Oreochromis niloticus: one gene and its partners. The main gene of each other region encodes a partner of the protein of the gene in region 2 in a complex. Links are inferred from orthologs where the notes say so. Each region holds a gene or a part of one and is shown on either strand. Other genes may lie near its edges.

What was found. Proteins that work in one complex are often made in the same cells at the same time.
Region 1: polr3c (region 2) and polr3d share a complex: the UniProt entries of both Homo sapiens proteins name them as parts of the RNA polymerase III complex. The link is inferred for Oreochromis niloticus from reciprocal best matches to the Homo sapiens genes POLR3C and POLR3D.
Region 3: polr3c (region 2) and polr3k share a complex: the UniProt entries of both Homo sapiens proteins name them as parts of the RNA polymerase III complex. The link is inferred for Oreochromis niloticus from reciprocal best matches to the Homo sapiens genes POLR3C and POLR3K.

The regions. Positions count from the first base shown.
Region 1 is NC_031977.2:13,081,715-13,085,468, forward strand, and holds the start of polr3d (DNA-directed RNA polymerase III subunit RPC4), read left to right. Parts: upstream 1-1,546; 5' UTR 1,547-1,699; intron 1,700-2,694; 5' UTR 2,695-2,695; coding exon 2,696-2,857; intron 2,858-2,996; coding exon 2,997-3,040; intron 3,041-3,121; coding exon 3,122-3,276; intron 3,277-3,370; coding exon 3,371-3,495; intron 3,496-3,754. UniProt on the Homo sapiens protein: DNA-dependent RNA polymerase catalyzes the transcription of DNA into RNA using the four ribonucleoside triphosphates as substrates.
Region 2 is NC_031976.2:21,380,330-21,384,083, forward strand, and holds the start of polr3c (DNA-directed RNA polymerase III subunit RPC3), read left to right. Parts: upstream 1-1,279; 5' UTR 1,280-1,418; intron 1,419-3,473; coding exon 3,474-3,620; intron 3,621-3,754. Other genes in the region: rnf115a (E3 ubiquitin-protein ligase RNF115), read right to left, coding at 1,114-1,266. UniProt on the Homo sapiens protein: DNA-dependent RNA polymerase catalyzes the transcription of DNA into RNA using the four ribonucleoside triphosphates as substrates.
Region 3 is NC_031969.2:24,519,625-24,523,378, reverse strand, and holds the start of polr3k (DNA-directed RNA polymerase III subunit RPC10), read left to right. Parts: upstream 1-1,538; 5' UTR 1,539-1,688; coding exon 1,689-1,799; intron 1,800-1,884; coding exon 1,885-1,972; intron 1,973-3,754. Other genes in the region: snrnp25 (U11/U12 small nuclear ribonucleoprotein 25 kDa protein), read right to left, coding at 1,097-1,330. UniProt on the Homo sapiens protein: Core component of RNA polymerase III (Pol III) which synthesizes small non-coding RNAs using the four ribonucleoside triphosphates as substrates. Can mediate Pol I proofreading of the nascent RNA transcript.

The sequences.
Region 1 (3,754 bases), on a different chromosome or scaffold from region 2:
ATATTTCAATTATGCTTACAAATTGGCATATTTGAGTTGTGTTTTTAAAACAAATATTGTAAATTTATTCTAGTCTCATTCAAGTATTTGCCGAGAGGTCCTTCCCTTATCAAAGGGACCAGGCACTGTTCGACCGGGGGTACCAAAAATCTGTGGCACCCCTAGGAGGAATATACTATTACTACATTTACATAAGCGGATGCTCCCAGAATAATGTATTACACACATGTTCAGTCCACATACTGGGAGAATCTGTGTCCACCAAATTATGAACAAACTCCATAAAAAGTTTTATTAGCAACTTGGCATTTTCTCTGAATAGATGGATTATTCTCAGCACATAATAATACTAAGTGCAATTCTCTTTTTTCTGTCAACATAGTATTTTATTCTATTGCATATAGTATCTTATTCTTATTATCTTATCCTATTCCAGTGTTTTTCTTAATTTTTGCTACTGTAACTTTGCACTGTCGACTTTCTGCTGTGACACAACAAATTGCCCATGTGTGGGGCTAATAAAGCTTATCTTATCTTGTCTTATCTTATCTTATCTTATCTTATCTTATCTTACCTTATCTTACTTCTTCAGCCCTTCACTTGTCCAGTTTGCTCAATTTTTTTAAGGACACCATGTTAAGATATGCCAGATATGACCTTATACTTCTTTGGGAACCACTTTGCTGACTCCCAGTAATAGTATTTTATGTTTGTCAAACTGTGTTGCGTTTGGCATATTTTGTAGATTCAACAAAAGAAACAGGAACTAGTAACAAAGTACCTAAAGACACAATTTAAAATTTCATGCCAAATGAAACACGATTATTTGCTAACTGGTCTGTTATGTGTATACACAACAGTGGTTCAAGTGTTGTGGCTACAAATAACAGACAAACCGAAATGAAAATGAACCAGAAAGCAGCAGATCTCCAAAGAAAAGCTTTGAATCACCTTCAGAAAGCCCAGGGAACTGTTGCTCAAGACTACTTAAAAATTAGCAGAAAGTCTGACTTCTTGGAAACAAAATATAAAGAAATGAGGGGTGTGTCAAGACTTTTGCATGGACCAAATACCAAATTTTCAATTTGGTATAATTAGTTTGTCCTTTCCTGCTTCGTATTTCTCTCATCCTTCTCTGCATCTTCTATATTATACATTCTATATTATGTATTTACACAATTACAGGTCAGGAGAACCTTTTCACACCCTGCTGCCTAAAATGAAGTTCAATTAACTAGAACAGTATTATATTATGAGATTATTAAGGGATCCTAATAAATTTCAAAGTGTAATATAGTGATTAAGCTGTGTTTGACCTACTCACATCTGCGCATTGAAGCGAACAACGGCCTCTTCCGTTTACTTATGATTATGAGCATCGGTGAGTAGCTACTGCTGTGTTGCATAACAAAGCATATTTATATGTCGGTAAAATAACATTTTTCACATACATACATAAGTCGATCTAAATGTATTAATGTATGCCGGTCTATTGAGTTTCGTGGTGAACATGCGCATGTTTCTGCGCAGGTTTGATCCAAGTGAACTGAGTGGACGGTGACAAATGCGGAAGTGTCATGGCGCCGTGCTGCAGAATCATCAACACTGTCATGCAGTGTCCCACACAGCACTGGTAGAAACTGTAATGACTCTGGGGTTTTGGATTAATATTTCATAAGGACGTCAGAGGGACAATAACGTAAGTAGGCGAGAAAGCACAGCCTGTTAAAAGTTCATCCTGAGAGTTAAAACAAAGTGTCCTGTGTCGTTGTATTTCACTGGAATGTGGCCACGTGTTGCTGAGGTTGTCTTGTAAAATCATTTCTAAAAATAAAAATGTGTCTGCAGGATCTCTGTTTATAGTGATACAATAACTTGTCAGTAATTTATGTCACAGTGTTATAAGCGCTACTTTAGTAAAAACAAAAAAGTAGAAGCTCAGATTTACATTTTTGTCTGTGTTCAGATTAAAAGATAATGTATATTACAACGAAATTAATAAGTAAATACTACATGAATCAATCATGTCAACAGTATGTTCTGCGGTCTTATAGAGCAGGATGTGGTAGTAGAGTAAGAAATACTTAATATGTGTCTATATTCACCCTTTAAAATCTGAAGTCATATTTAAACATATAATACTATATAATATAAACATTTAATACTTTTTAACATTAAGTTTTTAATTAAAAAAATTTAAGAAAATTCTATTTCAGCTTTCATGCTGCATTGGGCCAATGGGGCAAGCTGTACCATTAAATAAAATCAGTAGCTAGTTTAATTCAAATACAGCAAAACTGTGGAGATTCTCACATGTCCTGTCCTTTAATCATAACAGAGAGAATAATTTAGTTAAATATATCTATATGTATCATTTTCAAGACCTATTCTACTTACCATTTCCAGTCTTCGTGGAAGTAGAGTTTAAAATGTGCTAAGAGGCATAAGTACCAATGTAAAAATGTTCATACATAAATAATCAATAGGCAGTAGCAGTAAGTAGCCTTGCAAGGCCAATTTGGCCATGTCTACATACTGTGATTGGTAGTCTGATACAGGACTGTAACCCTTGGCAATCGGCATGCTGACTGTTGAAATGTGTGTTATGTATAAATATGAGAATGTTATAAGAAACAATGTTAGTATTTGTAATATCCATCCCTTGGTCGATCCCCTGCTTTTGCCCCAATTCAGGATGTCGGACGCAGGTTCAGGCGACCCCAGTGGTCGTGTGCCGACTCCTGGAGGGAGCGGTAGCAAAGGACTCCTGATGAGCCGTCGCCCGTCAGCTGGCATCTCTCCTGGCCGCCTCCCCACGATGCGATCCAGAGACCTCACATTAGGAGGAGTGAAGAAGGTCTGATATGTCTCTGTTTCACTAACTCACTCGCTTCATTTAACAACAACAACAACAAAAAAAGCGCAAATGGAAACTTTAAATGAATACATTTGTTATCTCATCTCTTGCATTTATCGTTCTTCTTTTTACTCTTTAGAAAACATTTACACCCAACATTATTGGCCGAAAAGTTAAAGAAGAGTAAGTTCCCAAAGCGCTAAATAAATAAAGTACAGACATCCAAAGCCAGCTGTTTCTTTGACTGTTATTTTCTCACACTAGAACAAAAGTTGAAGATGGGCAGAGGAGAGAGAGGAAGGAAACGGATCGAGGTCGGGGTCCCAGAATGAGAGGCAGGGGCCGAGGCCATCAAGAACTCATCCAGTCGCACTCCATTTTTGAACAGGGACCCGGAGAGATGATGATGAAAAAGAGAGGTGGGAGACCCGGTGCTCCTTACGCATCGTTTACGTGTGTGTCTTACAGAGTCTCTATCGAACGAGCATAATTCTGTGTCACCCACACACACAGGCGGCTATGAAAGCGAGAGAGACGCTCCAAGCATGGGACCCTCGCCCATCATTAATATCAAAAAGGAAAAGCGAGAGACCGAGGAGGAGACCAAAGAGATCCTGCGCAAGCTGGAACGAGACAACGTGAGTCTCTTGGCTTTAACTCATCTTTGTTTGCGTAACTAAGTACGTACAATTTCATTTATATAGCACCTTTAGAATAAGACCTAAGGGACTTGCTGGGGTCATATAGCTGTAAAATGTTCACTGATGTAACCTGGTTCTAGTCCATGATGAGCTCTAAACGTCAGAACGACAATCTTGAAATGGGCTTTGAGTTGAGTGGGGAGCCGGTGCAGCTGGATCAACAACGGTTTAAATGTATTTAGAAGATTTAGTCAGA
Region 2 (3,754 bases):
ACAATCTTAGGTGTTGCAGTCACTTGGCTCAGTGAAGACATGCCATAGGACTGACTGTGCCTGGGACACTTTAGAGTCAATGACAAGGAGGACTGGAACTACCCTCAGCTGGATCATAAAAATAAAAGATTAATGTGACTCTAGTGGTGATATAAAACCAGTGAACAGTTCATTGTGAATATTGTAAAAAAAATTTTTAAACAGGGCAGAATTTGTCCGTTGTCAGTATAAGATTCCTCAAAATGTCTTCACATTGTTTTTGTCCAAACAAAAAATACTTTCATAAAGGACTATGAAAACCAGCAATTGTTTTTTTTTGGGGGGGGGGTCGTCTGAGATTTCAGCTACAAAACACAACAAAACACCACAGTAATAAACAGTGCCACTGAGAACTGTGAGAAAGCTACAGCTGACCATAAGCTTGTATTGGAGTAGGTTAATTTTAGGTTGGTGTATTTTATAAACTTGTAACAAACGAATACAAACACACCCCATAATATTTAAGACGTGGATAACATGTTTAAAACCAATTAAAGTTAGTAAGTATGTCACGATTTGGGTCAGCTCTGCGTCCAGAGTTTAGCTTCTACTTTTAACTTCAAAACTGAAACTGAATACGACATGTTTAACTATGTTTCCAAAAATCCCCCAACTCGTCCTGTCAACACTGCGTTTTTATCGGAAATTAAAAACTAACCAGCTGTCAGGCAACTAAAGTTAAGTCTGAAGCACTGAACAAAGGCAGCAGTAACGCAAATGTTTTCGACAAGTCCTTGTTGTTTTGAGGAAAAACACAACATCCCCCGAACTGTCAAAGCAGAGCTTCGAGTACACTGCTTTGACAGAAACGTCTAGAAAAGTCTAACAAAACCTGTCGATATTTGCTTTTAATGTCAGTTTTTTTCCACCCCTTTCCTTTGACGGGGCTCGTAGCTGGAGTTTATTTTAGTGAGTTAACAACAGCAGACGCCGCTAACTGCTAACAGGCTAGCTGGTTTTTAGCTGTAGCGAGAAAGCAAGCGGAACAAATGGCCGTTAGCGGCGAGGCAGAGCTGTCAGCCGGACGTATTCTAAAAGAGTCTGACAGATAAACAAGAAAAGCCTCCTGCTTACCGGGAGTTTGGGGTTTACTTCCCCTTTACAACAGTGACAGAAAAACCGATGCGGGGGAACAGCCGCAGCCTCCGCCATCTTCCCCAGAGCAGCACAAACACTGACGTCGGTCCTCCACAAACCGAAGGCAGCCGTCCACCTCCAGCCCAGCATGCACCGCGGCGCCGCTGGCCGGAGTCCCAGCTCACCGAGGAGCGGAAGGAAACGTGTTCGTGTGTTGACATCGAGAAGTCGCACGTGAAGTGTTTACTGCAGGTGATGGTGAATAAAAGCAGTGTGTGTTCAGAAACTTCTCAACTGAAAAGGTTTGTTTAAAGTGTTAAAGAACTCAGATGGTCAGCTGTAAATGTTAGCTTTTTAGTTAGCTTAGCATGCACAGCTCACAGGGTTAACTTGGAGTTAGACAAAACTATCTTTTCTGTGCTCGACAAAGAAGCTTCTGCACAGTATGCCATTTACACATGTGCTTAGAAATTCAGTAACAATCCTTTAAATATAAGTGAGGTTTGCAGTCGCTTAAATCTAAGTGGAAAGTTGTTGTTTCTCTTTAGTAATGTGCAGTACAACTTTTAGCCTAAATAATGCCAGTTCTGTTGTCAGATTGTAACTATTTTATTGCGACCAAAAAATAATGTGGTTACTATCGAAATATCTGGACATAATGTGAAAAATAAAACAGTCATTGTTTTGTGTTCATTGTGTGTGCCTGCTCTTGTTGTGACAAATCAGTAGGGAGGTGTGGAGAGACAGACAGTAATAATAACAGTAATACGTTTGATTTTAGGCGCTTTTCAAAACATTCAAGGTTATTTTACGCCGAAGACTTGAAAAACTATAAAAATAAGAAAATATCGATCAAGTTAATAAAAGAATATACATTATGTTAAATCAGGTTTAATATGATAGGTGGAAGACAGAGTGAATATGCCAGTTTTGAGACGAGATTTGAAAATGGAGAGAGTCAGTGTTATGGATTTCTGGTGGGATGCAAGTCCAGAGGCGAGTAACAGAGTAACAGAGCAACTGAAGCCTCTAGGCCTCATGGTAGTCAAACAGGTGAAAAGGGCGATGAGATGGAGACCAGGAGAAAATCTGGGATTTTGGATGAGTGTGTTGATGTGCAGAAGTTCAGAGGGATACTGCAGAGTGGTGTTATGTAATCAATAGGACATTTAACTGTGAGCCAGTGAAACCTCTGAAGTACTGGCATGATGAAACAAATGGAAGTTCTGGATGGATTTGAGAAGGGAGTTAAAGATGTTGATGGAGGACGTAACCTGGGTGTGAGCAAGGATGGTGGTACTATTGAGTGTGAGAGATGTACAGAGGTAACTATTGTTACAAAGGCTGAGTTAGATTATTGATGGGAGTTTGGAAAGAAAGTAAGTAAATCATCAACATATATACACTAAAACTAAAATAAGTTAAATTAAAAAATTCAAATAAAACTAAAAAAATAAAAGCAATAAAGTACTGAATGAAGTAGTGACATTCTGGAGAAACGTGTTGTACAGTCCGTCCATCTACTTCTTTAAACCACTTATCCAATTCAGGGTTGCATGGTGCTGGAACAGTTGGGATAGGCTCAACCCAGGGTTGTCTAGCTGTGCTAGGGATGAGTATGGTACGAATTTGCTGATGGCAGTGACACAGACTTTGCTTATAGATCCAAGTCTTTGTTGATTCTTAATCATTTTTTTGTTGTTTTTGTTGTTAGAAAAGGTTTTTCAGTTTCAGTTGTGCTTCAGAGTCTCTGAGTCTGAAGGTAGTATAGAAGGAGTTAAAAAAAAAGTGATGCACGTGATTCAAGTGTGTGAGAAGTCCATTGTTAGAGACACATCCTACATTGCTTATTTTAGCATTCCTTTTTTAATTCTCCCCTTTTGAAATATATTCCCTTGTGTGCTTGTAGATAGAAACCATAAATTGTTTGCACCTTCTTGTAAGGGAACACAAATTATTATTGATGGTTTTTTTGTACATCTTCATATATGAACACATAGCAACCAGTGATTTGCACATAGCAACAGCAGTCCACCTCCGTCATAATAAAAATATATTTCACACATTGCATAAAAAGCATTTACTTCTCTGTAGAAATGTGTTAGTCTTTACAGAGATAAGAGTTTAGTTTTTGTAGGCGCAACTTATTTAACCTTAAATTACAGATCTCTTGTATCCTGACATGATTCTAATTTGAGCTTTATTACATCCAGGTGTTAAGAAAAATGACACTATATTAAAGGAATATAGAGGAATACTGGAATACTGTTTTTGTACTGCTATAAATAGTTACTTACAGCTATCCTAGATTTTAGACCTTTCATCACCTGTGTGTTCCTGTTCTTTTGTTTGTGCAGATGACAGCCCAAGAAGTGCGCCTGTGTGGTCTTTTGCTGCAGGAGCACTTTGGAGAGGTGGTTGAGAAAGTGGGAACACACCTGCTCAAAAGTGGAGCACAAAATTTAAGAACAATCATTCATGAAACTGGCCTCTCAGTGGACTTGGTAAGGAGTACTATACCAACTCTGGCTCAGCTTGTTAGGCTTGTTGATTTTATATTTATTGTCTACACACCGTGTTCCAAAAGCTATGGCTTTATGGCCTTTTATCTGGAGATTCTATTGTCTTACATTTTTAT
Region 3 (3,754 bases), on a different chromosome or scaffold from region 2:
TCTCCACAGTTTGGACTGATTAAATTATACATACAGTGTTGAACATCAGGTTGTTACGGCATTTTTGCTAGTTAAGCATGCGTGTTTAAGATTGAAACACCAATCAGACAAAACCAGACACTAGCGTCTTTATACACTCACTGGAAAATTTGGAAGACAAGCCTTTTCAACTTCTACAGATATTTAAACAGCCACGGTAGCAACTCAGTGCATTTAGGCATGGTCACGATGTCACGCTGAAGATCAAACCAAGAATCAAAACGATGAAGAAAAGTTACTTTTAAAGTGGCATATCATGTAGGCTGGTCTGAGTATTTCAGAAAGTGCTGATCTACTTGGATTTTACCACACAACTATCTCCAGGGTTTACAGAGAAAAAGAGAAAATATCCAGCGAGCGTCAGTCCAGAGGTCATAGGAGAATAGCCAGAATGCTTCAGTAACTCCAATAACCGCTTGTTATAAACAAGGTATCAGAAGAGCATCTTTGAACGTGCAACACATCAAACACTGAAGCAGGCATCCTACAACAGCAGAAGACCACACTGGGGGCGACACTCCTGTCACCTAAAACCAGGAAGGCTAAAATTCACATACTCACTAAAACTGAATAATAGTAGATTAGGAAAATGTTGCCTGGTCTGATGTGTCTTGATTTCTGCTGCTGCTGGGTTAACTTTGTGAGGATATTTTCTTTGCACACTTTGGAATCTTTAGTACCAGCCGAAAGTCAATTAAAACTAACAGCCTACCCCACTACTATTGCTGACTGCTATGTCCAACTCTTTATGACCACATGTAGCCATCATCTGAAGGTTGCTTCCAGCAAGATAACAGCATGTCACAAAGCTCAAAACATCTCAAGCTGGTTCCTTTAACACGACAATGAATTCACAGACACCAGATTTCAATCCAACATAGCACCTTTATGATGTGATGGATCAGGATACTAAGAGTGACCGGGAGTGTATACAAATATACCAAAGGCATTGTAAGAAGTCATTATATGAGGTGATCTCTCGTCTGACCATAAATGCAACTCTCTTGTCTGTATGTATGCAATGCACATGTGCATGTTCATGTAGTGGACGGAGCACCTGAATCGGCAGGTCACAGAGCAAAGGATCCTGCACGAGTCGAGCAAGTCCTTCCTCGAAAATATCCAAGATTTCTGAATGAGGAAGAGCGTCCTCATCTTCCTCCTCTCCGCCTTGAGCTGCCGTATCTGTCACATCTTCCTCTTTTACCTCTTCTTCATCCTTCACCGATTGTCCTCCTCCTTCTGCAGCTCCAGCAGCAGCAGCGGTACACGCTCTCTGCTCCTCCTCCATCACCGCCAGCTGCTAAATTTACTCAGTAGGCAAGCAGCTTAACAGGCAGTTTATCGACTTAATTTATAACTTAGGGGAAAATATACTTTTTAATGGAAACTAATTTAACTGGAAGCCTGTGGAAGTAAGTGCGTCCGTCACAAATAATAACCGGGCGAGGAAATGGGGCTCAGAAAACATGGTTCCGCTTAATGATCCCTTGTTTCTCACCGAACTCTCAATGTGGGTGCATCTCATTTTCTCTCCTTCTCTTCCGGTGCTCCACACGCAGCAGTGTTTACAGCTGAGTCCACAGAGTGCTAGTGTTGTTTAATAGTTCAAAAACTAACAGGGTTTTGTTTTTTAAGTGCGTGATAACATGCTTCTGTTCTGTCCAACCTGCGGGAACGTGTTAATCGTCGAGGAAGGGCAGAAGTGCATGAGATTCGCGTGTAACACCTGTCCCTACGTACATAACATCACACGAAAGGTAAGTAACGACGAAATACTCACATCTTACATTAAGGTTAGCGTGGCTTCTGAGAGCCTCACGTTATCTGTTTAAACCCCTGTAGGTAAATAACAGGAAGTATCCGAAGTTAAAGGAGGTGGATGATGTTCTGGGTGGAGCTGCTGCGTGGGAAAACGTGGACTCAACACCTGGTGAGTGCCATTAAAATAGTTCATGGTGTGGTCTATCCATCTGTTTATAATCGCAAAATTAACTGGCTGAAGAAATATTGGATTTTTTTTTTTAATTAGTTTGAGAGTGAAGTTGTGTCTATCGTCCTGCACTCCTGCTCAAAACATTAATGTCTGCAGTGCCTTTGAGTGGTTTGTAATACAGTTTTTGACAACTGGATATAGGCTTGTTAGCTCAATGTGATTGCTGACAACAAGTATTGTGGGGTCAAAACTCTAAACACACACTTTCATGTCAAAATTAAACTCTTTAAAAGAAGAACTTTTTAAAACAAAGTCATCCAGCCAGCCATCTTCTTCCACTTATCCGTGATTTGTGTGAGCAAGCGTGTGTTTGGATCAACTCACTTTATCAGATTGAAACAAAAACTTTCCACCTGACCATGGACAGATTTTCCTTTAAAACACTGAGGGGAAAGATGCACTTCTGGACTGTTGTTAGCATCCAAGTATTCCCATGGATGACAGTAGGGATGTATTTTGTTGTGCCATTTAAAAATGTAATTATTTAGAAAACTACTTGAGCTGGGTCCTTCAGTTTTTCGTTATTTTAGGGTAAATATCTATTAACACTGTCAATATGGATTGTCAAATGTGTAGCTCAAGTTAACAGTCATGTGAAAAACAGAGTTTTCATGTGCAATACTGTGAAAAACAAAATACATTCTTAATTAAGAGGGTGAGTCCCTGCCAGCTGCTGCTACCTTAACGTTTGGGCACAATGTTGTCACTGTGTTAAACACAAACTCCTCTGTATATAAATATTCTAGAGTTAAATGTGAGGCTGTCTATCTGACAGATGGTTAAAATTGCATCATTCAACAGCACAATGACCCCAAGCACACCACCAAATTACAACAGAATGGCTGAAAAACAAATTGGGGTATTGCAATATCCCCGCCCAATAAAAACCTAACTCTACAGATAGATTAAAGCTCTTTAAATGAAAGACAGCTGTAGCTTTTGAACTATCCAGCTTGGAGACCTATTACAGAGAATAGGATGTCTTGGTCCGCCCTTGATGACATCAATGTGAAAGTCTTCTCCATCAATTCTCTGGAACTAGATATTTTTTCTAATTTCTGATAACCAGGTGGAGTTTGTCAATGGTATGATGACTGAGTCACATTTTAGGGAGCCAGCATATGCTAGAGACCTCTACTGAATAAAAATGCATTTTATACAAACTTTTAATTACAGTGTTTGTCTTTTCTGAGGATGGTAATTTATATGGCATTTTTGTGTTGGCTTGTTTGTTTTAATCATTAGTGAGGTGGCTTTTATACTTCTTGACCGCTGCTGTCTTTGTTAATTTAGGAAGGTTTAGTCTATTATAATGGATACCAGGGATGGAAGAGCTGAAATGAATGTGGGGTTGTTAAAAGTGTGAGAAAAGGTGTGTCTTTGCATCATTACATTGCCGGACTGCACCCCCTTCAGGGTAGGACAGGTAAACAACAACCTCTCTTGCAGGTTCTCCTGAGCTGCTGGTGAAGCTTTCTGGCCAATTAATGTTTAATAAATTGGTGACTGGATTTGGGGGAGGGGGGGTGTATGAATTTTGCAGCTGGTCCACAGCTGTATGCTGGCTCCCTGTATAGGCCCTCAGTCATGAAAAGCTTAGCCTCGTAAAGTTGTGTCAGCACCACTGGTATTTATGATTCAGGATATTATTCTACATCAATCACATTTTTGTGTTGTAAATACCTTTTTCCCTTGAAGCATGAATTGCAACACGGGGAA